Drosophila melanogaster: one gene and its partners. The protein of the gene in region 3 interacts with the protein of the main gene of each other region in a pairwise test. Each region holds a gene or a part of one and is shown on either strand. Other genes may lie near its edges. The genes, in order: Rbp1-like, CG15167, ps and ftz-f1.

Region 1 (6,916 bases), on a different chromosome or scaffold from region 3:
TCCGTGTGTTCCACGCCGAGTTCATGAAGAAGTACAAGTAGATCAGCTGCCAACTTCCCCGTCCTCGATCCCTGTGTTAAGTGTCAATCCTCCGGCTTAGGATTAAAAATTTAAATTACCCTAATTGTTTTTTTTTTTTCCTCTTTGTTACTGTGTCATAGCTGAATGCTTCTAAGCTCTTCTTTATATGCATATATAGATATATATGAGAAATATATAAAAACATTTTTAAAACCCTATGATTTGTGAACCCAACCCGCGCAGGTTTTATCGCCACGATAACGTTTCCAGTTAGCAATTAACCCACTTAACCATGTAGTCTTTGATTCTTAATTGAACGAAAACTCCTGGCGGAGATTTGACAATAATTTTTGTTAGAACCAAAAGTAGTTTACCATCTTTTGGTCGGCGCATAATTGAAAATTCTGATATTGTTCTAAACGAAAGTTATTTGCATTGTGTATATTTATATTTATCTACACATAAATATATATAGCCCTGCATGTGCTTATCCCCCGCGAATCGATCACGAAAATCATATGATGTGTGTGCGTTCAAGTCATTACTAATTGTTATAGACAAGAAGAAACTTTGAAAATAAATAAATAATTATTATTGTTAAGCCAGCGCTGCGTTAATTTCAATTTGGGCAATGGGTATCCTTTTGTAATTTGTTTTTAAGAAAAGCTGAAAATCCCGACATTCCCATTAAAAACACCCATTGTGTATATTTTCGGTTTTAAATTAGGTTCAATTTATTGATTCTCATTTCACGACTTATGTAACTACTTGCACTTACGCCAAACAATCGCATATAGTACCTTTTTTTCACTTTTCTCTTGACATGTTTTGTGTTGCGACAGATTTAGGGTAAAAACCAAGTGGATAAATAATTTAGGTTCGCGGACATACAATAAATTTACCTTTGACATCCATTGTTCATCGGATGCCTCACTCTTTGTGTGTTGTAGTTGTAGTTGCGCTGGTGGCTTGTTCTTTTTATCTTTTCATTTTCTGAATTAAAATCTACCAAAGTCTTAAGGCCTAAAAACCAATGTGTACCATAGTTGTACTGTGGCTATACTAGCGAACCATTCGGATCGAAGAGATGGCTGGGTTGTGTGGTGGTCTTTTGTGAAGTTGCTCGATACCTTTTTTTTTTTTGTTTTTTGGTTTTGTTCTCTGTGGGGGGGGGGGGGTTATTATATGGAGGGGGACGAATTTATTGAGTCAAACTTCAGAAATCTGTTGAGCCATTTTTCGTCTGGCAAAACAGATCCTTTTTGTCCTCAACTCTGGGGCCGTACTACTTTATGTATATATCTCTGTATATGTATAATATATATATATATCTATATATATGTGTGTGTTGTGGAGTCCAGTTTTGGGCTGCATCCCACTACTACTCTTCTCATCTAATGGCGGTCCCTGGAGTCGGAGCGACTGCGACGATCCCTCGAAAAGCTGCGGCTGCGTGTCCTTGAGCGGCGGGGTGAGCGTGATCTGCAATGAAATGGGTAGCGTTTGGGGAAAAACATATTGGGCCCGGCACACACATACAGGACACAGAAAGAGAGAGGTGAGAAAGAAAGAGAAAGAGAAAGAGAAAATACAAATTAAATAGATTTTGCACCAATGAGTAACTTAACTAGTCGTGTAGTTAGATAACAATTCCTTAAGATACGTAAAGTTGATAAGAGTGGTCTCGATCAAACAACACACAACTTGGGCTGACGGATCTGGTGGATCGGATACGGATCGGAGAGCTGACATTGGAGCTTTAATTTGAGCTGAGCGGAGCTGAGAGCTGGCAGTAATTTTTTTCAGTTTTTTTTTTGGTGGCTGAAGGTGCTTGAAGGTGGTGGAGATATAGCTGATATATATATATATATATATATTTTTTTTTTGCCCCATTAACGAAAGCGTTGGTGTGACATTTACATAAAGTAATTGGTGGTGGTTGGTTGGATTGGTGGCTGATTGGTTTGTTGGTAGGTTGCTTAGTTGGTTGATGAGCAGAGCAGACTGAGAAGGCTGTTGTTGTTGTTGTTGTTGAATTGTAGTAGTAGTAATAGTAGTAGTAGTAGTAGTAGGTTCTTGTTGAACTGTTGTAGTTTGGGCTGTTGTTGTTGATACGATACTGAGCTGATTGACTGTGACTAGGGTGGCTGTGTTGTGTTTCTATTATTATTATTATTTCTTTTTTTTTGGTGTGTGTTGTTGGTGGATATATTGGTGAATCATTCTATTCTGTTGCAGCAGCCGAAGAACGTAGGTCGTATGAAGAAGCAGTTGGTGGGGAAGCATCAGTTAGCAGCAAGAGAGGATCAGGTTGGTGGTTGTGGTTTGGTGGTGGTGGCGGTGCAGCTCCTACCATCCGCGCTGTGAAGTTGCGAGCTTGAAGAAGATTCTGCCCTGCCCTGAACTGCTGATGCTGCTGGTGCTTTGGTCGATTGTTGGTGGGGTCGTTTTGTTGGTGAACTGTCTGACTGTGAGTTCGAGCTGATCGGATCAATGCATATAAACACACATTTACACAATATACTTGTATATTACACACAGAGAGCAGACAATTAGCGCGAACAAGATTATCTCAGTAGATGTTAGGATGCAAGAACAAAAGGTAAAAAAAAAAACAACCATAATTACAATTACGAGTATAACAAACGGATTTTGTTAGAGGCGTTACGTTACGTTTCGTTTCGGTTCGAGGGACAGTGTTGTTGGTGGCGGCCAAAGGTTTCATACTTGCTGCGATTGAAGGAATTAGCATGAAGCAGCCTCAATCTTGGTTTGATTGCAAGGGAAAGGTGCAACTACTGAGTGGTGGAACCAACAAAAAGTCTACCAAAGGCTTTTCAGCCTCGAGATCGATTTGCTGACTGGCTGCCAGATGTTCTTGTTGTAGTAGTAGTAGTAGTAGTAGTAGTAGTAGAAGTAGAAGCTGTTGTTGCAGTTGGTCTTTGTAGCTGTAGCTTGTTGCTGATGCTGTAGCTGCACTAAAGATGACGGATGATGAGGTGGTGGGTGGTTTGTTGGGGACGTAGGAGCAGGCTGAAGACAACCGCACAACTTGGAGACGTAGGAAGTTGACTTTTTGAAGCGTTGCTGGACTGGTGAGTGTGTGTATAATATATATATAAATATGCAATAGATGCATTTTGGCATTTGGATTCTTGATGAAGTTGCTCTGTTGCCGCCGACGATCGGTTCGCTCTGGTTCTTGGTGATTAGTGTGGTTAATGGCTGTTTGTGTGAGTGTGTCTGTTGTGTAGCCTGAAGATGTTGCCAACTAACAGACTATAAATGATGTGGAAATGTGGAATGCACTGTGGGGCATACGACCATCTTCGTTTGCTAAATCCTATTTATATTCCAAAGCAATATTCTGTTATTTGACAAAGAAAAAAGACCAACGTTTAGCAGCTAAATCCTATTCAAAATAGGCATAGATCGAAGATTACTTAAATCGTTTTCTTTTCTTTAGTTTGTAGCTAGTCGTGTGCCCCATAGTGGAATGTATAGTTAGGTGACTGTGGGTGGTGTTCGGTCTGGTTTTGGGTGCATTATTCTTGAAGCTGCGGAGCCGAAGACGTTGCTGATGATTCATTTTTTTCTGTTCTGTTTTTCTTTTTTTTTTTTTTTGCCTGGGTTGAGCTGAACAGGTGGTGGAGGGGGTGTGGTAGTGTTGCGGTCGTTCGGTTTGGTTCTGGTTCTTGGTTTTGTGGTCAGCGGAATATATCGAATTTGTTGAATTTCTGGTTAGGGCCGCACAACAAATTGTTATTGCATGGTGGTGGTGTAGTGGTGGCTGTAGTTGTTGTTGTTGTTGGTGAAATGTGTGTAATAGGAGGAGCAGGATCTGCTGTTGTACTAGTTGTTCTTGTAGTAGCTGTTGTTGTTGTTCTTTTGGTTGTTGTTGTTGAAGGAAGAGGAGTAGTAGAAGTTCTAGTAGTAGTAGCTGTTGTTGTTTTTTCTTTTTTCTTTGTTGTTCTTTTAATTATCATTATTATTATTATTATTGATGTTGTTGTTGTAGTAGTTCTTGTTGTGCTTGTTGTAGTAGAAGAAGAAGACTTTATCCTGCAAAATGATTGTGAGACCACATTAAAACTGGCTCCAAGCGATCGATTTACTTTGTTTTTACTAAGTTTTCTTGTATTTTCTTTTCATTTTTCTTGTATTTTGTAATTTTACTAAAAACAACAAACAAAACGTTTTCTCTAGTTAAAGCTATACTCTTTGAACTTTAAACTATGGACCTCGGGGTGCATATAATGAGCAATGAAATGTGATACTAAAACAAGATTCCCCTTAAAAAACAAAATACGAGCTAAAAAGAATCGATTGACGTAGCAAAAGCAACCAGGACTGTCGGCCACGGACGCCACTGTGTGCGCGCGGTAGGACTGTTCTTTTTCACGGACGCCACTGTGTGTGTTTATGTATGGCTAACAGTGGTGTCCCACCGTATGTGTGACTGTGTGTATTTTGGCTGGCACCGCTTTTGTATGTATACGCGAATCGATTTTTCACATGCATACATACACACAAGCACACACGCTATATAAATATGTATACATATGTTTATTTATATATATATTTTTGCATACTTTTTTGCACATAATGGCAAAAATTATGATTTCATAATCTCGAGAGAGGGGTAGTGGTAGTAAGTGGGTGCTTTGGTTGGTTGGTTAGTTAGTTTATCTGGTTTATTCTGGGGATGCAAAATGTAATGCTTTTGTGCCGTACTCACCTATAGCGTCCACCGCCATCGCCAGCCCTTCCACCGCCTCCAGCACGGGCGCCACTGCCACCGCCGCGGCCGCCGCCACCGGATCCGCCTCCACCACCGCCGCCTCCACCGCCACCGCCGCGACCCTCTCGTGAACGGCCTGATGACATTTCGACACGGATGCGGGTGCCACAGCAGCGGGTGCCGTCGAGGCCACGGGTCGCATCCTCAGCGTCGCGACGATCCTCGAACTCGACGAAGGCGAAACCGGGCGGATTGCGGGCCACCCAGACGTTGCGCAAGGGTCCGTATTTGCTAAAGGCGTTCTCGATCTCGTATTTGGAGGCCGAGGATCCCAGATTGCCCACGTAAACTTTGCAGGCTAAATCCCATTCACGGTAGCGTGGCATTATGTATGAATATGTATGTGGCTGGAGGTGCTGCTCCTCCGGTTCTGTAATGGATTTTTGGTATTTGTTGTACCACTGGACTTGTCCAAAGTCAATTTTCCAGTTTGTTTTGATGCTATTCCGAGGGAATTCTCCTTGGTTTTTCAAAGAGCACACCCACAAAGCAGGAGCAGAAAAAAGTGTTTGTGAGGAAAAAAAGATGGCGTGCCCTCCAGTGTTGAAAAGTGAACGAGGTGCAGTACCGTAAAGCGCTGACCATAAGATATGCGACTATCGATATTTTATAGGAATATCGATCTTTGAAATATCATTTTATTCTATTTAATAGTTTAAATTAAATGTTTCACAACCTAAGGGTACTTAGTTAAAGTATTATTATAAATATACCTTAATTTATGTATGGATACATTTGCTTAATTTCATATACCCGATGTTAAGAGTAAAACTAGATGTGGTTAATTTTTGAGTCGGCCGAACCAGATACTTCACATAACATACTTCAAAAGATAACATATCGATAAGTCGAGAACACGGAATGGCTTTTTAACATCTGGCAACCCTGCACACCCAGCTGTCCCTATTATATAGGCACATTATTATTGGCCCTTTTTCGTTTCGGCAATTTTGAATAAAATATCGCAGAACAAAATGGCTAAGACACCGGAAAACATAGCCATCGATCAGTTGGACAAGGATCAAATTAAGACGGTAAGCAGAGTTGACACGAAGATACCATCTCATGCCAAGGACCGGCGGTGCCAAGTGATGCAATGTGGTTTTCATTTGATATGTTTTCGGTTCTAACTTTCAGTTTTCCGACTTCCTAATGTCCTACAACAAACTGTCCGAGACGTGCTTCACAGATTGCATACGCGACTTTACAACGCGGGATGTTAAGGATTCCGAGGTGAGTGCCCGTGGGGAAGCTCCATGTGGAAATCAGCGATTTCAATATGCCCATCCATTTCACAGGAGAAGTGCTCGCTGAACTGCATGGAAAAGTATCTGAAGATGAACCAACGCGTCTCGCAGCGTTTCCAGGAGTTCCAGGTTATTGCCCACGAGAACGCACTGGCCATGGCTCAAAAGACTGGCAAACTTTAGGTGTTATAGCTGTTACAAACAATCTTAACTAGTTTAGACAACTGAGATGATGCATTTTCCTGCATTTGTCAAAATAGCTGAGTAAAGAAACGCGTTGACGGAATCCCGACGATTATTATCTACTATTCGATTATTGTGGTACTTTATTGCTGATTGATTACGGCCTAGAGATCTTGTTTGAAAAAGACAAGTGTGGATCATCAGTTTCGAATATGTTCCAGCTGAGTAGCAGCCCATCTTTTTCGTTTTAGCACTTCAGCCTCATGACATTTAAATGGTAGAATTGGGCGCCGCAGCTGCTTACGTGCTAGATGTGCCTACAATTACGTTTAAGTCACGTTAAGACAGGGCCGTAGTCGCATGTGCTCCGTGGCGGATGTGCAACCGATATATCGGTCTTCGGTATCCCGAACACCGGAGCCGACTACGGCGATCTCTAATCTAGGTCTAATGCATAGAGGCCATCGCCTGTGGCCATCTACTCAATACTTAGGGCTACACAAGGTTCGCCAATGCGTGGTTCCCGTTTTCCGGCTGTATATTCAATCGGCTCAATGACTCGTGGTGGCGGCCTCCGACGGAAAGCCCTCTGCCTCTGTGATCAGGGCGTACTCCAGGATAACGCGACCCTCCTTGTATCTAAGAGATAAATTGGAGCATTAGT
Region 2 (4,226 bases), on a different chromosome or scaffold from region 3:
AACAACAAAACCAGAAACAACAACAACACGGCGATCAAGTTTGCCGCCGTCACCTTTTGCCGTCTAATCAAATACCAGACCAAGACCCAGGGAATAACGCCATCGCTTGAGACTCTGAGCTACCCACCTATGGATACGATACGATACCATACGATATGTAGATACATCCCATAACCGGCAGATGCATGTGCAGTAAAAAAAAATAACACGCATTAATAACTACATTAATTAGTCACCAACTATTGTGTTTCTTTCAATATATATAACATATTTGTATTTCGTACCTATCAATTTTACCTATTATTTGCCAACAAAATTACATACTTCTAATGATCAACAAGCATTGCACCATTTAAATTTAAATGATATTATCGAACAGAATAAGTATTATAATATTTACAGTTTTTAAAGTTTCTAATATACAATTAAATACATCATGATTGTGCAGATTATGATTTCTCTCCGTGTCGATGTATGGGCATGCCTGCATGGGCAGAGAGACACCAACCAACACATGGTCGAATCCGAAATTCAAATCCCAGCTCAACGTCATCGAAGCGCCGCACTCTGGAGGACTCCGCGATGCATCGCAGCGGGTCTTTGGGGGCTGGGGCGGAATTTTCACTTGAATATTCGACACACTTTGAGCCCGGGCACACACAGCTGGAAGTCGCGAAGGTTTGCAGGATTTCCAGACTCAGATTCAGATTGAGATTCAGGGAGGGGCGCCACAGCGCGCTTGGCTGTCTCAGCGATTCTTGGGGCTATGCATCATCATCATCATCATCGGCCGGGGCCGGCGTCGAAGTTGGAGCTGCAACATGGCAACATGTTGCAATCTGCCAGCTCTGCATGCATAAAATATTATGCAACATTATGCCACAGACACAGGCCAGACGACACTCTTGGTTTTATTTACACTTTTTTCGGGCTGTGGCCACCCCTCGCCCGAAATGTTGCTGCTTATTAGTGCCGGGATGTTGACAGCGTTTAGATCTAATTGAATCGCCCGGATCGCCGATTTCTGTGCCGTCCGTAGAACATTTGGCTTGGCCCGCTCCCATTTGGCCCATAACCCATAAATCTAACACACCGGCACGAGAGATTTATAGAGTTCAGATTGCGAAATGCGCAGAAGCACAGCACAGCGCGCAGCGCCGAGCTCGGAAAATCTTGAAAAATTAAAATGACTAGTGCCGGGGCACGATCAAGACCGTGCTGCCGTCTTGATAGCAGACAATGGCAACTCCGGAGGAGATGGAAAGCCCAAAAGCGAAACCTCAGCGGTAGTCAGCATTGGGGCGTCTGCAGTTCAACGTTCAAGTGGCACAGTACGCCCTAGAAAAATGAATTGATTCGATTGTTTTTCGCCGCAACTCGGGCTCCTCTACTTTATCTGCCAGCGCCGAGCGGAAAAATCTGAAAATGGTTAGACAAAAAAAAAACGAAAAATCAGGGGCAGAGGCAAAGGCAGAGGCAGGGAGCGCGCCCCGAAAAATACTGATGATACAATCGCGTTTTTGACTTTGAAAAGTCAGCTTCGAGTCAGCCGGGCTATTGTTCAATGGCCCAACTGCAGCAGCGGCAACATCAGCAACAGCAGCAGCAGCAGCAGCAGCAGCGGCCGACACTGATTGTTATGGTTTATGAGATGAAAATGCACTCGAAACAATATTCTGGGGCCAATGCAATTTGCGATTTTTAATCAACTCCTCTCGTCAGCACTCAGCAACAGAAGAAAACATCGTATTTGGGGGCCCCTGATTGCAGCTTCCACTTCGAGAATCGTGGCTCCTTCATCTGGCTTTTGATCTTCTCCCCGTCCCCGAGATGATTCCCCTGGCTCCTAGCCTGCATCCACTCGACCATCATCTGCAGGCCAGCAGAGCTGCCCTCCAGTTCGCCGCCCACTTTGCGGCCACAGTGCGTATGCGCGATGTAGCCACACACCTTAAGTTCTGCGGCTTTGTGGGCCACAACTGAAAGCAGGGCCTCATCGGAATCTTCGGGCACACTCATTTCATACGCTAATAGGTAGATCTCTGGCTGCGGTTGGAGTACCAGTTCCAGCGACATTTTTGGGAATGGAAATTTGAGTATGTGAGTTTTCACGGCTTTTGAAAATAAATGATCCAGATTTCCTAAGTTACTCTGCTGATGATATATAATCGAAAAATTTGCGTGGAGTAAACATCACTGATCCATCCAAAGGTAAGCATTTAAAACAAATTCTGAATCTTTAAAAATGCTATACTTTTATATTTATATAGATTTTCGTAAAAAGTATTTTTATAAACTATCAGGAAACGTATTTTAAAACAAAATGTCAATTAATAATTATGCTTTGCGTAAGTCATCAGTTTAATCAATTTAGTTTAAAAACAAACCTACACGCCAGTAAATTTAGCTTAACACTCAGTACAATCCAAAATTATAGCCCTAAGTTATTTGCATATCTTTCAGCAAAACTAAACAAGAAATGACATTATTAGGGTCCTACGATTGGATGTTCAATGAGGATATTCAACTTAGGACCGAGTTTAAGTTGTACAACATAATGTCAAGGAACCAATTTCCGCGTCGAATTCTTCAATATTGCCACAAAAACCATATAACCGGATACATAGTATTCACCCACGGGGGCAAACAAGCATTTGGAGTGATGGATGGCAAGCGGAAAGATTTAAACCGGATAAAGCCCTACCTTCTGAGGTTTTGCATTCCAGAACCCTTTAACCAACGAGTCACTTTTTCAGCCTACGAGTTATGCTTCAATCCGAACAAAGAGAAATTTAATATTAAGGATAGAGTTCCTAAGGGCGCCAAGTTTCTGGGAGATATATACGAGGACTGCTTTCTGAGGTTCAAGAATCAAAAACCGGAACCGGAAGAGGAAACCGAGGCAACTAAAGCCTTGTTCGCAAAATATTCCGACTTCTTTAACTTAAAATATTTCGTCAATTGTTAATGGACAATATATAGCTAAGACTATGCCAGCACAATTCCCGATTCTCTTTAGTCGCAGTGATTTCTCGCAGTGTGGATGCGACTCGTGCTGGCCATTGTTCAACACTATTTGCGGCACTCAATCTCTTAATTAAATATGCGACTAACTGGCAGCTCGGAGGCACTCGAAGAGTGGCCCAGACATCGCCGTTTAGTGTCGAAATTGTGCAAGTTTTGATTTTCCTTTTGTTGTTATGGAAGTCGCTGTTTGTATTTTTTTTTTGTTTTTGTTTTTGTTTTGGCTTGGTTTGGTTTTCTTGTTCGCTGGATAATCACAGGCCCGGCGAATAGACGGCAGAAATTAAATCAGCCAAGGTTATCGCATTAATAAGCCCCCTGGTTTGGGTTTTACAGTTTTCTGAGCCAGTCAATTATTAAATTTGCAATTTCCGTAGCTGAACTTTTGGGGTCAGTAGACTGATTTAAATCAAAACCGTAATTGAGCATTGCCCGCGAGCTAGAACCAATCGCACCAAAAACCAAATACCAAATACCAACCTCCGGGCAGGAAAATTGACAAATGTTTGATAGCTAGCTACCTTTTCGGATTGCTTGTTTCACGTGCATTTATTTTCCTCCAAAAGCGGATGTGGGGACGCTGCGAATCCGATTCAGAAAATGTACAGAAAAAAAATCGAAAATCAAAAACTCCCAGCTAAGTGGCTTTCCATGACATTTTACTGACACTCTTGCCGTTGAACTGGAAGACCTGTTTTCATTTTCCCTCTTAGCGCAACTTAACACATTTGACGAAGATGTCTATGCCAGCAAATGACGTGTCATCAATGGAGCCCGCACTCCCACATAAAGATGCACAGCGTCCTCAACTCGATCTCGGATCTCACATCTCGCATCTCGTACCCCGGCCACAAATCCCCAGCACTTGAAGCTTGAAGAGATCTGTTGGTGCTGTTGTATTAATAAGCCTGACATTTGAGCAGAGCATCCACTCGAAGCCATCGGGTTTCGGTTTTGCGTGTAGGCGTCTGAAAATAATAATTAAAAAATCGTTTCTAATGCGGAAATCTCGCGTTTTTGAGCTGGGGGTGAGCTTAATGCCGAAGATGTTAGACAAATATATCAGATTTCTATTTCTTTTTTTGTCGCGCTCCTCGCTTTGGTTAATCTTCCAGTGGACGGTTGTGGGGGATCGGCAAATCGGTGACATGGGTAAAGATGGATCGTTGGGAAAGCAATTGAACAGTGGATCGTCAGAGGTG
Region 3 (6,676 bases):
GCTTGCCTGCCATGTGGCATGTGGCATGGTGCATCTCTGGGGACTTTCGGTGGCGGCACACTTCTCGGAGGTTTGGGACTGAGCGACCTGCAGCTGAAATTTGAATTTGCGACTTTTATTCAGAATTCGAGACGCTCGCCTCGAATGAGAATTCTTCTACGAACGTCAGCGAAACACAATAAATAGCCGATCGAAAAGCATTAGGTGAATTAATTGAAAAACTCAAATGCCAAGTCGAGGCGCAAAAGCAACTGGTTCTCTCACAATAAACGAAAACCCGTTTTATAGCGCAGGCCATCGCATCTCCTGCTAAATCGATCTTAGTTTCTTGATTTTTGTATTTGTAGTCGCACTAATTTCTTAAGTAAATGCAAATTTGTGCGACCTACCTGTTTTGTTCTCTGTTTTGTACTGCGCTGACGACAGGTGCTGTGATTACACTTCGACAAATAGTAGATACTTAAGTGATTATATAATAGATTGTTTGATATTGGAAAATTGTTAGCTAGAGAAGTAGTGCGCCTTAATGATGCATAGAAATAAAGTAATACTTTCGCATTAAATGATATAACTTAATGCTTCTACACTTCAATTTTTGTTCTTGTTCCTGTGCAGCGCATGCCATACAGTTGCAAACGCGTATCTATCAGTACGCATTCTGCCGTGTATCTATATATCTGGGCGCATGCTTAGCATTGAACGACGGTGGCTTTTGCCATCTCTTCGATTTATTGCTCATTTTGTTTTGTGGTCGGTGCTAAGCGGGCACGAACAACAGCAAAATGAGTAAAAAAAAACTTTTTCAATGGTCAAGGTCGTTTGCAGTCAAATCGAATAGCCACAACGCACACTTGAGCCCCAGCACTACCAACAGAAATAACATATAAAAATGTTTGTATAATTAAACGCCATTTTAAACAAATAAACGCGCGTCGTCAGTCGTTGATGCAGATTTTGTTGTTGCTGTTTCTGTTGGTCGCGCTTCGGTTTTTGTGTCGTCGCATTTTTAATTAGCAATGAAATCATAATAAAATAAAACATCTCATGCATAATTGAGTTGCAAGTTGGGGCTTCATTGCCATGCCATTATGAAAAAAAAAAAACAAAACTGGCTCAGGTATTCATAAGTAACTAAAACTGCTTCGTGGGTACGGACTCGTTTAGATAGGTCTTAGGTGGAACAAATTTAAATTAACGATTCATAAGCGCAGTAGAGTGAGTTATTATTAGCATCGCGGTACGGCAGGATTTCTCAACATTTTAAATTGGCCAGCATTATGTCGAACTCAACGGATTAAGTAATCAGTATAATCAGTATTATAGTAACAAATAAAATAGGTAGCTGTAAGATCCTAAATATAAGGTGTAGGTACCGAGTTTTCGCAGACCTTCTAACCTCATACACACACACGGGATCCTTTCTTATAGGGGGCCTGCTTTCAAAACTATTTCTGCGGACTCCTGTAATTCATCCTGTCGTCTGCTTTCCATTATTACACGTTCTCAACGCTCACAAGATTGCTTCAAACCGATCTGTCTCTATCCCACATCTGCCTGCCCCGGTATCGTTTTGATATGTGAATGCCTAACACGATCCACGCTTTTGAAAGATCCGCCCAGTCCAACCCGAATCCCGCCACGCCCCTTTTTTCCACCAATCTCGCAAGATGCCTTGCTCGTTTTGTAAATAGCTTTTTTGAAGACGAAAGATCAAGACAAATCAAATCAAATCGATCCAATTTAAATGTTTGTGCCTATCTAAATGTGTGTGTGTTTTACTACTCGAAAAATGCATTGCCACTCTGACAACTGTATCTATATCTACAAGTTTAATGCGAAGAACATACCTATATATTGCCTAAATGTTTACTGTATGTATATTTATTATTGCTGCATAATTCACTCATAAATATTTTTTTCTTTTTCTTTTTTCATATAAACGTTAAAAAAAAAAACTCGCACATTCCACCACAAAACCACCAAACAAAAACTAAAAATAAAAAACTAAATGAAATTAAAACTGAAACATAGAAGGATCGTAAATAGAGTATCAATATATGTGCATATGCATATATAGCGACGTACACGAACTGTCTCTGTCACTGATAGCGATCGATAGCTGTACCTCCATGTGTGTGCATGAGTGGCAGCATCAGTAGCGTACCCAAGGACCAAGGACCTCATCCACATAGCCCATCAATCTCACAGATGCCAGTGGCGGATTCCCCCCGATAAAGGCATCGAATCGAATTACATCGCATCCATTGGACGAGGACGAGGACTAGGACTAAAGGACAGTGACTGACGCATCCTGCGCTCGTTTGATCGTTCGTTCGCTCGCTCGCTCGCTCTATCGCTCTTTCGCTCGCACGCACCAAAAAAACCAAACAGAAATACCAGAAACAATACCAAGCAAGCCAAAAACCAAATAATACAAAGCTAAACAGACGCCTCATTACCAAACATCGAACGTTTCGTTGTCGTTTAACAAAAAAAAAAAAAAAAAAAACCAGAAGCACAGCAACCAAATTCAATTCAATCAAATCAAGTCCAAGCCAATCCAATCCAATCCAAGATCCAATTAAATTAAATCAAGCCGAATCCACGAGACATAGAAACTGAAAAGTAAACAGTAAGATCAACAGATCAACGAAACCCAAAGCAAAAAGCTAAAGCAATCATCAGTCAAAGTCGATAACCAAAACCAGCAACATTCAGTTAAAAATGGCCGAAGACGCTACCATGGAGACATGTCCAAGTCCTGAAACCGGCGACTCACGCAAAAGGCCACTCGATTCCGATCCGGAAAATGAACAAACTAAACGCTCACATTTCAGTTCCGGTAAGTTGACCAAAATCCAATCCAAATCCAAATCAAAATTCAAAATCAAATTCAAATTCAAATCGAAATCAATATCGAAATCGAAACTCAATTCATTTCGCCAGCAGAAGGAAGAAATTGAAATATATATCTCAAATCGCTCTTGCATATCCCCATTATCGTGCTCTCTCTTTTTCTCTCTGTCAATCTCAATCTCGATCTCAATCTCAGTTTCAATATCAATCTTAAGCTCCTCAACTCGACGCTCTGTGTATATCTATCTCTCGTTCGTTATCTATTTATCTATCCATTGCTTTTTTATCTCCGAAGCGTATAAATAACTGATTCAATTTGTTTGCCCAACTTTTCTGCCGATCGTGCCGTTTCCCTTCTTTATTATGTGGTCATGTTGTTGTTGTTGTTGTTGTTATCACAATATATCCCCCCGATATGCGTACCTACATATATCTATGTATATATATACTTAGTATCTATGATTTTCTTACTTTTTTCTTTTAGTCGTTTGTCGCTCGTGTTATTTATTGTTGCTGTTGTCGTTTGTTATTCAGATTCAATTAATCAGCACGAGAAATTCATTTGCAGTTTGCCCCCAATACGTTCGATGTCAGTTTTGCAACCGAACAAACGAACCAACGAACGAACGAACAGGCAGCAGACTTTGATTCGTAATTAAGCCAGATATGGCGTATACGCCCCGAGGGCCCCCTCTACACGTACACAGCTACAGTGTACATCTTAAAATGACAACTGGCATCTGTTATATGGCATACAGCGGTATCTAGTACCTAGTGTAGTATCTGCCTGGCTGGCGGCTGTATCTTTGCGCAGGATTTGGCGCCGAGACATTGTGGGCCCAGTTTGACCCAATTTTGGGCATGACCTCCGCCTGCAATCTCCTGCAGCTTCATCAATGGCCTGCAATTAGATACAAGTGCTGTCCGTGCACGTCCCTGAACGTCCAAACGAATGGCATTTGAAAAGCTCCTCCCTGCTTCACTCATCCGACAAACTGAACTGCAGTCGGGACAGCCGAGGGGGTCACAAAAATTCATATGGAGATTAGCATTTAAAAGAAGAAGCTCCCAATCCGTGAGCTCCATTGCCAAACCCATACTGCCTGTCTGTCAGTCAGTCTGTCGGTCAGTCGGTCTGACCACAAGCTATTAACTAGTTGCTTTGCATGATTTGTTCGGCTCAAAACCAGCTGGCAAGCTCCAAGGTGAGCATGCCACTACGCAATCGAAGTACCTGTCGTCATAGCCACGAAAATAGCAAAAGGTGTAAGTGTTAGAGTCGCACTGTCGCCCCCGCTGGCTTTTGGTATTTAGACGGATAGCAGTGGCTAGAGCCAGAAGCGTGTAAACGTGTTTTCGAGTTTCCTAATTGTCAATTGGAAATTATGAAGGGTAGATTAGTCCTCGGTTTTCGTTCATCACAGCAGGCTCTCTCAAATACGTCAAGTGTTAAAATCCCAAAAAAAAAAATATCTACAGAAAATAAAACAAAATTCCAGTGTTGTCTTAATGTTGCATCAAAAATTTTAAGTTTTATCTCGTGAATTGGAATGCGGAAGCTTTGTTCGAGTAAGTTCAAGTTCGTTAAATAGGCAAATATAACTTATTTCCATATACTCCACTCCATTCATTAAAGCAGACACTATATTATATGCTCGGGGACATCCATAGTTAATGGGTTAGTTCTGCCTAAGAATTTGTTTGCTTATGAACAATGCCATTTTATCAGCTGTTTGTTTGGCCAGTTTCCATTCAAACCGATGGCATTATAGATGAGCCCAGATAAATAGATTCGTTACATGTATGTGTACAGCTGGGCATTTGTAATTAATTAGCCACCATTGAGGCTGCCTGTTTGCTGGACAGAGAACAGGTCCATGTCATATGGTTTTGGGTATTTACTCACGTCGTCGTTTTATTAGTTTTCTGGCAATTTATTTGCTTAGCTGCCTTGACAGTCATTTGTTTTTTGTGTGCTATCTATTTAATTTTTTCAGTTTTTTCTTATTTATGACTGTCATGGCTGGAATTCTGTGTAGCTGGTTGGTGAGAGAGCAGCGCAAAGTTTTTGAGATGCACAGAGAAAAATAATCTTCTTAAATTCTAATAAGTATTTAAGGTGTAAGGTTTTAAAGTTTAATCCAAAGAAGTTAGGAAATTCAAACAACTTTTTGTCAACAATTCTTTTAAGCAAGAATTCAACTCTTTACCATATACTTAATTTTTTTTTGACTTATTGTTTTCCGTGTAGCCTGGACTAGAAATGCGTCAGTTGGCGGGGCTGCTGCAAAGGAAATGCAGTAAAATCGAGGAAAATCGGGGCGGTGGGTCAGCGTGGAGGTTTTGGACGACTGGTGGCGTGGCTTATGTAATCAGTACTGGCAGGGCAGCTGGAAAAGCGTGCGAATAGTTGGGGGTGTATACTGTAGCGAACTCTAGTTCGCCGTAAGAGAGAGAAGCGAGAGCTGCTCTCGGCAAACGTTGACAGCATGGCAAGCGGTTGACCTACTTTGATGACAATGCGGGTGCGTACGTGTATCTGTATCTGTATCTGTGTGTGCCTGTGGTCGCTCCGCTGCCATCGCTGCTTGCCTGCCTGCCTTTGCTCGGTGCTTTTCGTCTAGGAAGGGTCCTGCGCAGTAGGACGACTCGAACTCCTCGAACGCGGCGACCATTCAGCTGCACTGCAGCATTTGGCGCCATTGCAGCTGCCACAGCAGCCGATGCAGCCGCAGCAGCCGCAAACGCAGCAGCAACGTCCTTGAGTGGTGGGTCCTGTAGAACTGGGTTGGTTGCCTCGATGGCAGGCTGACTGACTGCCTGGCTGGCTAGATGCAGCAGCTGAGAATGTGGTATGGCAGAATGGCAGTATGGCAGTGTGGCATGGTTGAATCTCAAGTGCGTTTACTGCCTAGGGGCTGTGTGCTCTCTCGCACTCTCACTGTTTTGGCCACAATCTGAACTGATATCTCTGTGTCGTGTTTTTGGGTTACCTTATTCTTAGGTGCATTCCATTGTTGCGGCTCGAGTGGCCAGGCATTTGGTGTGACTGCACTTGTAGAGCATCTCGAGTGGCCTACTAATAACTCAAGGGGCCAGGCAGTTTGACATTCTTTTCGGGCCAGTGATTAGGACAAGCCCGGCTTGCCTCAATAATTGGGTCATCTGAAGTCCTTATATTACGCATACGCAGCGTGGGTCAGTCCCAGTGGTAGCACAACTTGAACTCACAACACTTTTCTCGTATTTCACAAGCTCTGTTAGTTGTTCCTATCTTGAATAATTGTAATTGTGTAATCTTAAAGATTAAAACTAACAACGGGGCAGACTAACTCGCTTTGATCCCTCTTCTCGCCATTAATATTATATGCCTCTAACCGAATTTGGCTACTACTTCACCGTTTTAAATCGCATTTTATATAATCTCAAGGGCTTTAAGCATAACTTCCCGTTGTCATTTATGGATCGCTTGGCAAATCGTTTGGTTTAGCTTCCACATTGAATTCTCATCGTTTTGGTGGGTGAAAACGTGACACGTTCACTCTTTTCGCCGCTGGCTTATCACGTTGGCTTATTCCGTATCACATGTTGCCACAGCAGTTTCTATTTTCGACACACACGCCGCCCCCTTTTGTGTCTTCGCCCCCTGTTTGTGTATTGCTCTCTCCCCGCCGCTCTTTGGCGTTGATAATGAACCGAGTGACATGGAGTGAAGTGAGGCAATCATCGGCGGGCCAGCATTAGATCATATATACAGACAGAAACGACGACGACATCATCATGATGATCATGATCATCATCGTACACTCTGACTCATGAA
Region 4 (6,253 bases), on a different chromosome or scaffold from region 3:
TCATTATTTTGTATATTGCATATTAAATATTGATTTATTAATGAATTTATCAATTTTTTTTTTCATAACTTTCATTATTGCTTGCTTTTGATTTATTGATTATTTGAGCATTTGTTTGATAATACACGCGGTTTTTGTTTAATTGTGTCATTAGTTTGTATTTTTCTTATTAGTCGTTATGTATTTGTATTATTTCGCACTTGCCGCTTCGTTATCACTTCACTTGCAGCAACAACAGAATGTTTGCCAAACAATTTGCCTTTCGAATTAGGATGGTTTTGGGGAGGTAAATAAATCATTTGATACAAAAGATGAACTTACCTCCGTTATCGTCGATTTCCAGACCGAACTCATCCTCGGACATGGACTCATCGTCGCTGCTGAGATTGGAGCCACTGTGGTTGCCGCTTTGCATGTGATGCTGCTGCTGCTGCTGCTGCTGCGGAGTGGTGCTGGCACTGCTAGTGTGGTTGCTGTTGGGAGACGCTGCTCTCGGGGCACAGGAACTGGCGGCCAGCTCCTCAATACTGTGCAATGAGCTCCTCGTCGGATTGGCAGTGTTGCTCATGGATGTTGTCGTTGTGGGCGTTGCAGTGCCTATTGTGCGTGCAATCGATCCTGATCCCGATCCCGATCCCGATCCTGAACCCGATGCCGATCCAGAGCCCGGCCCTGTGGTCGTAGTGGTGCTAATGTGGCCATCATCCTTGCCCACCTGCACCTCAAAGTCCAACAATTGGGCCGTTGTGGAGGACAGGAAGTTGCTGGTGGAAACGGAAGTCGACGAATTGACTTCAAGTGGTTTCAATTGATGATATTCGACGGGCGGCACAATTATGCTACTGTTGTTGCCATTTGGATTTTGGGGATTCTTTTGCAACAGGGCGGGATCAATGCACTCGTTGGCGCTGCGATGGGTGGGAAATAGAATATTGGCAAACGATGGCATCGTCACAGATTCGATGATCACCGAATTGCCGTTCGATGGCCTCACTGTCTTAGCCTCCACGTTGTTGTTATTGTTATTGTTAGTGTTGTTATTATTGTTGTTGTTGGTAGTGGTAGTTGTTGCAGCTGTGGCAGTGCCCATTAGTGTCATGTTGCTATTGCTGTGGGGATTTGGACTGGCCACAAAGAAACGATCGCACAAGCCGCTCAAGGAGATGCCTCCATCCAGTTGACTGGCATCGATCGTTTGCAATGAACTGAAGTTATCGGCATTTGCCGATGTTGTTGCCGCCTCAACTGCTGCTGCTGCTGCTGCAGGTCCTATTGTTGCAGTTGCATCCTTCTGTTGCAACTGCAAGTGTGAATAGAATGGCAGCATGGGCGAACTGCCCGCCGCCAGCATTTGATCCTTGTGATGATGGGGCATTAGGAGTTGCTGCTGCTGCTGCTGCTGATGTGAATGTTGCTGCTGATGCTGATGTTGCAGGTGGTGATGATTGCTGGTAGCTTCTGTTGCATAGTTGGTGTTGCTGCTCTCCGCCAGCATAGGTACATTGAAGGTATCCATTTTATGAATAATATAATTTAACTTTTATTTTTTGTACGTTTCGTTGTGATGTGTGGTATTTGTTTTGTTGATTCTTAATGGCAGGTAACGATAGTAGTTGTAAGTTTATAATTGCTTTAAAGACCTGAAAATGGTAATAAAGCAGATTATTAGTAATCAAAAAAAAATTCTAAGCGTTTTTAAAGCCGTCTAAACCAAAAATCAATCCGTTCTAGTAATAAATATTAATTTTCAGGAAGTAGGACAAGGATTTCAAAGGCCTAGGTTAATGCAAGGTCAGGTTGAAGGTCAGGTCGCAGAGAATGTGGGCCAAGGAAAGGCCTAATGGTATTTGAAGCAGGCCAAGGTCAACTCTTTGTGGGGAGAGAAAGCTTTCAAAGCTTTTTCTGTACCACTTCAATGTCCACCCAATTTATTATGTTATATTTCAGTTTTTTTATAATTCTACTATTTAATTATTGTTTAGGGTTTTTAACTAAATCGTCGAAAGTCCACAATATATACCTCCGTAGAGCTTAGGAGTGCCTAAACTATTTTTATCAGTATCAATGCAATTTCACCAATAAACCGATGTTTAAAAATTAAATTTCAAAATAGACGTCGAGAATCTTTAATTTAAAAATTGAAAAATAAAGTTTTTTTAAAAATGCAATTGTTTTACAAGATTACAAAAATTAATAAAAAAAAAAAAAGTTAATGCATTAAAAGCATCTTTAACCAAATTATTTTTTCCGAGTAGATAAAATCCATTTAAAAATTAACACGCTAAATTGTTTATTCCCCCATTTACAGTAATTTTCCAGTTCGCGAAACAGACAACTGGAAAGATTCCCCCATTTTTTTAAGCCCTGTGTTACCCTTTTTAACGATACTTTAATTAACTTCACTCGACTTCAAGTTCTTCACTTTTCGTGCTTGAATCTCACCAACCCTCGGGTAATCCACGGAAAAAAATTGAGCAAATGACATTAACTTTATATTTAATATTTTAAAAGAAAAATATCTTAGTGGAAAATACGAGAAAATGTATAAAAAAAAACTATAAAAAGCTATAAACTGCTGATACAATTTTCAGTTTATTATCCAAATTTTTAAAACCACATTAATTTTTGTAAAAAATATATATATAATGATCCCAGTAAAATTTATTTAAACAAACAAAAAGGTGATTTTATTTAAAAAGTTTTCTTATAATGATGGTTTTTAAATCAAATTCGTGTCAAAACTGTATTTCATTCCGTGCTCCTACTTCCCATTAAAGATGGTAAGTGCAGTAAAATAAAGCTCACCCAACTAGACAAAATGGAAAAGGAGGTTTTTGGGGGGTAAAAGGTGAGCGAGAGGAAGTCGTGCAGCGGGGAGAATTGAGAATTTACCTTTCATGCAGCTGACGTCGTTGTTTTTCCTTTTGTAGTTCTGTGTGTTGCGCATGCGCCCGGTTCCATGAATTCCAAGACGAAGATCGCGGAAGAAGAAGAAGCGCTGGAAGCTGTCCGTCTCTCTCTTTCTCCGTCTCTTCCCCTCTCGCTTTTTATGTATACAAAAACCAGTTGGAAGCGAAAGCAAAAGTTCTATTATTATGTCTTGGTCTTCTTGCTGTTTCTGTTTTTGTAGCCGTAGCTGGTCTCCCTCTCTCTCGCTGTCTCTGTCTCGCTCTCAGTGTGGGAATTCGCATGTGTGGAGAACGGAACGCGAATTTATAATTCGCAAAACAAAGCTTGTGTGTGATTCATTTCGCCGATCGTAGTCGCTGTTGCCGTTGTTGTTGTTGTTGCTATTTCTCCCGATCGCATCTCTCGGCGTCTCGTTCTCTTTTGCTCTCGCTCTCCGAAAGCTCTTTCAGCATATTTCAGAACACGCACACACACGCGACGCCAAACGCATTTGGCAATTTATTTATATTTTTTTTTATTTATTTCTTTTATTTATTTTGCATTTATTGCCATTTACTCTTCCTCTATTCTCGGCGATTTCCTCTTCCCGATTTCGAACGCACACCAAGAACTTCTTGCACAATCGTCGCACGCGCGCAACAAGCGAAAGCTCTCAGAAACAACAACTATAAATTGCAATTCCTGCTACGCACACACTGACACGCTCGCACCGCACATACATATATACACACATGTACTGGGGTTCCACTGGGCACTCTGTGTTGTTGTTTTTCCGCTTGGCTTTTGCTAATTTTGCCTTGTTTTTGCTTCTGCTCCAATTCTATGACACAACGCTATCTTCCCACTTTGTGTTAATTTTTATACACAATTGCACACCAAAATTGGGGTTTGGTAAACGGATAGGCAATGACGGGGGCGCGGGCGACGATTGGAAACCAGAACACACTCCCGTTATGGACGCATCGGAAATATTAAATATATACGTATGTACACACACATAATTAACGCCAGAGCTGTTCTTCTTTTCGCTTTTGTTTACTTTCACTCTTACTTTCTTGGCTATCGCTCACTTTCAGCTATTGTTTATTCGCTGGCTTCACTTTTTCGGGAAAAACTATTCCGCACGCAAAAATTAGGTCTCGAGCGAAATTAGGTCGAACTCGAACGGGAACACAACACACAGTAAAAGTTTGTTGGCGTAGGTAGAAGAAGACCGAAAGCCCTCGCGCATACACGCACACACACATGCGCGGTCGGGATAGTGTTGGATCACCGGAGCGAAGAGCGGGGCCAAGGACAGAGAGGCAGCATTCTTGGCCTTTAAAAATCGTTTGAAGAACAAGGACGGCAATCATATGAAAACCGGAAAGCTTTCAGCTGAAAGCACTCACATGCACGCACACCCGCGTTTAGCGCACCGCTCGTGCGGCGAGCTTTTGAGAGCGACATCTGCCGGAACCTATCGCCAAGTTATCGATAGATCGTAAATTCAAAACTGTGGCGGTTTGTCAATGAAATATTACATAAATTTTAATAAGCAATAAAAAATACAATGAGATTATCTAGTTCAAATAATTGCAAATTTAAAAGGAAAAGAAGAAGACGAATTTAAATATTCACAAGATATAATTATACTTTTTCAAAAGAATGGGCCCTCTAAGTATATTTAAGTACTTATCTAAGACCTTACCTGTTCAGTCATCTATTATTATATATAAATAACCTTTTAAACCAATTTTGAAGAATCGTTTAATAAAAGCTTGGATCGATATTTGTTTTCAAATGCCAGGAGATTGTTAAAATTTTGAAGTGAAACCGCACTTTTAAATTGTCAAAATTTCACTTTGCATTTATTTTGTTTTTCATTATTAGTTTTTTTTTTTTTGTTAAATTTCTTCAGTTTTTTGTGGTTTCCTTTTATAGTTGCACAAAACTTACACACGTACATTACATAGAAAATTACAAACCTATCTGAAAATTGATTTACATTGTAGTTGGATCATATTGTGTATACATATACTTTATATATTATGTTAATAATTTCATTTAAAAATACATAATACATAAATACGCCTTTGTTGCTTCTTTAATATTATTACAATAATTATTATTTAGTTTATACTTTAGCTAGATTGTTTTGTTTTTTTAAAAACCATAGATTACACTTCATCCCTAGATTTATCTGTAAGTATATATCAATTTATTAGCTGATTGGCTGGCATACATTTTCCGTTCGTTTCCTCGTTTCTAACTGCCTTGCATTGTTTTCTTCTACTTTTATTGCATAATTGCAGCCAATCCCTAAAGATTCCAGATTTTCTCAATATTCTCGCTCTAAAATTTCCATTCATTTCCTTTTTCTTCGTTTTGAGTGTGTATAGCACCTTTGTATCACTTTGCATTAGCTCTAAATTTAATTTCCTTTATAAAATCCTTTATCTTCCAAAGACAAAGACGTGTGAGTAAAAACTAGTTACTAGCTAAAATATACATATGTATAGTATATAAATCTACTATTATATTCGTACTAATAGTTTTTCCATATTTGTTTGCACTTTACACTCTATGTTCAGTTAGTACTATGCTCATCCATTCATCATTATCTAATTTATATCTTTCTGGATCTTGCCCCGTCCAATCGCTAAAGATATCTCGGTTAAAATTTCATTAAAATGGTCTTAACGCCCAACAAGTTCCGTACACTGTCGTTGTATTTGATGAGCACAACCTTCGACGAACTGAACATGTTCAGCTTTTCACCGGCGCACAACAGCTGCAGGCAGGTGGCTTTCTCCAGGAAATCATCTATCTTGAACTCCCGTAGCAGGTGCTTCTGACTGCTGGCCAAGGCATTGCTGTTGTTCGGACAGAGCTAAAAAAAAAATAACAAGATTTTGTTATAAGTTCATTTAAATATCGCATCTAAATGGCACATACCTTGTTAAGCAACGTATCCTTCGATTTAACTTTAAGTAAATTGCACAAATCATTGAGTAGTACCCATTTATCACTGCCCTCGTCTTTGAGCAAGTACAGTGGTGGCAAGGGCACATCGGCCTCTTCAAATTCAAAAATATCACCATTCAATTCACTATCCATTGTCTCGATGTCCGTCTGATCCTCGTCTAGCCTAGTGCTACTATTCGTATTTGCTTTCGCATTCGTTTCCGTTTCCGCTTCTGTTTCAGCTTCAGCTTCCACTTCCTTCTTCACTTCATTCTTGACATTCACAACGCTTGTTACTAAATTATTTTCCACATTAGCATTCAGCTCCTCGTTGTTCTTATTGTTATTGCTATCCTCGTCGGTTCCCAGTTCCAATTTAACCATCGTTGTTGCCGTC

The links.
Region 1: the proteins of ps (region 3) and Rbp1-like interact in a two-hybrid assay, tested with the Drosophila melanogaster proteins (one large-scale study listed by BioGRID).
Region 2: the proteins of ps (region 3) and CG15167 interact in a two-hybrid assay, tested with the Drosophila melanogaster proteins (one large-scale study listed by BioGRID).
Region 4: the proteins of ps (region 3) and ftz-f1 interact in a two-hybrid assay, tested with the Drosophila melanogaster proteins (one large-scale study listed by BioGRID).

Annotation. Positions count from the first base shown.
Region 1 is NC_004354.4:13,379,541-13,386,456, forward strand, and holds Rbp1-like (Rbp1-like), read right to left. Parts: upstream 5,338-6,916; 5' UTR 5,149-5,337; coding exon 4,760-5,148; intron 4,084-4,759; coding exon 3,729-4,083; 3' UTR 2,210-3,728; downstream 1-2,209. Other genes in the region: CG1640 (uncharacterized protein), read left to right, coding at 1-41; Tim9a, read left to right, coding at 5,797-5,856, 5,960-6,055, 6,121-6,252; Ype (yippee), read right to left, coding at 6,804-6,891.
Region 2 is NT_033779.5:18,738,260-18,742,485, reverse strand, and holds CG15167 (uncharacterized protein), read right to left. Parts: upstream 2,129-4,226; 5' UTR 2,077-2,128; coding exon 1,726-2,076; 3' UTR 1,679-1,725; downstream 1-1,678. Other genes in the region: CG42752 (uncharacterized protein), read left to right, coding at 2,480-2,968.
Region 3 is NT_033777.3:9,429,998-9,436,673, forward strand, and holds the start of ps (pasilla), read left to right. Parts: upstream 1-2,604; 5' UTR 2,605-2,724; coding exon of another isoform or gene 2,725-2,842; intron 2,843-4,268; exon of another isoform or gene 4,269-4,406; coding exon of another isoform or gene 4,407-4,425; intron 4,426-6,676. UniProt on the Drosophila melanogaster protein: Functions to regulate alternative splicing in neurons by binding pre-mRNA in a sequence-specific manner to activate exon inclusion.
Region 4 is NT_037436.4:18,797,216-18,803,468, forward strand, and holds the start of ftz-f1 (ftz transcription factor 1), read right to left. Parts: upstream 4,095-6,253; 5' UTR 2,893-4,094; intron 1,641-2,892; 5' UTR 1,517-1,640; coding exon 322-1,516; intron 1-321. Other genes in the region: CG14073 (uncharacterized protein), read right to left, coding at 5,567-5,782, 5,848-6,253. UniProt on the Drosophila melanogaster protein: Acts as a cofactor to fushi tarazu (ftz). Facilitates the binding of ftz to DNA. Binds the sequence element 5'-YCYYGGYCR-3' in the zebra element of ftz. Probably functions as a nuclear receptor for a yet unknown ligand.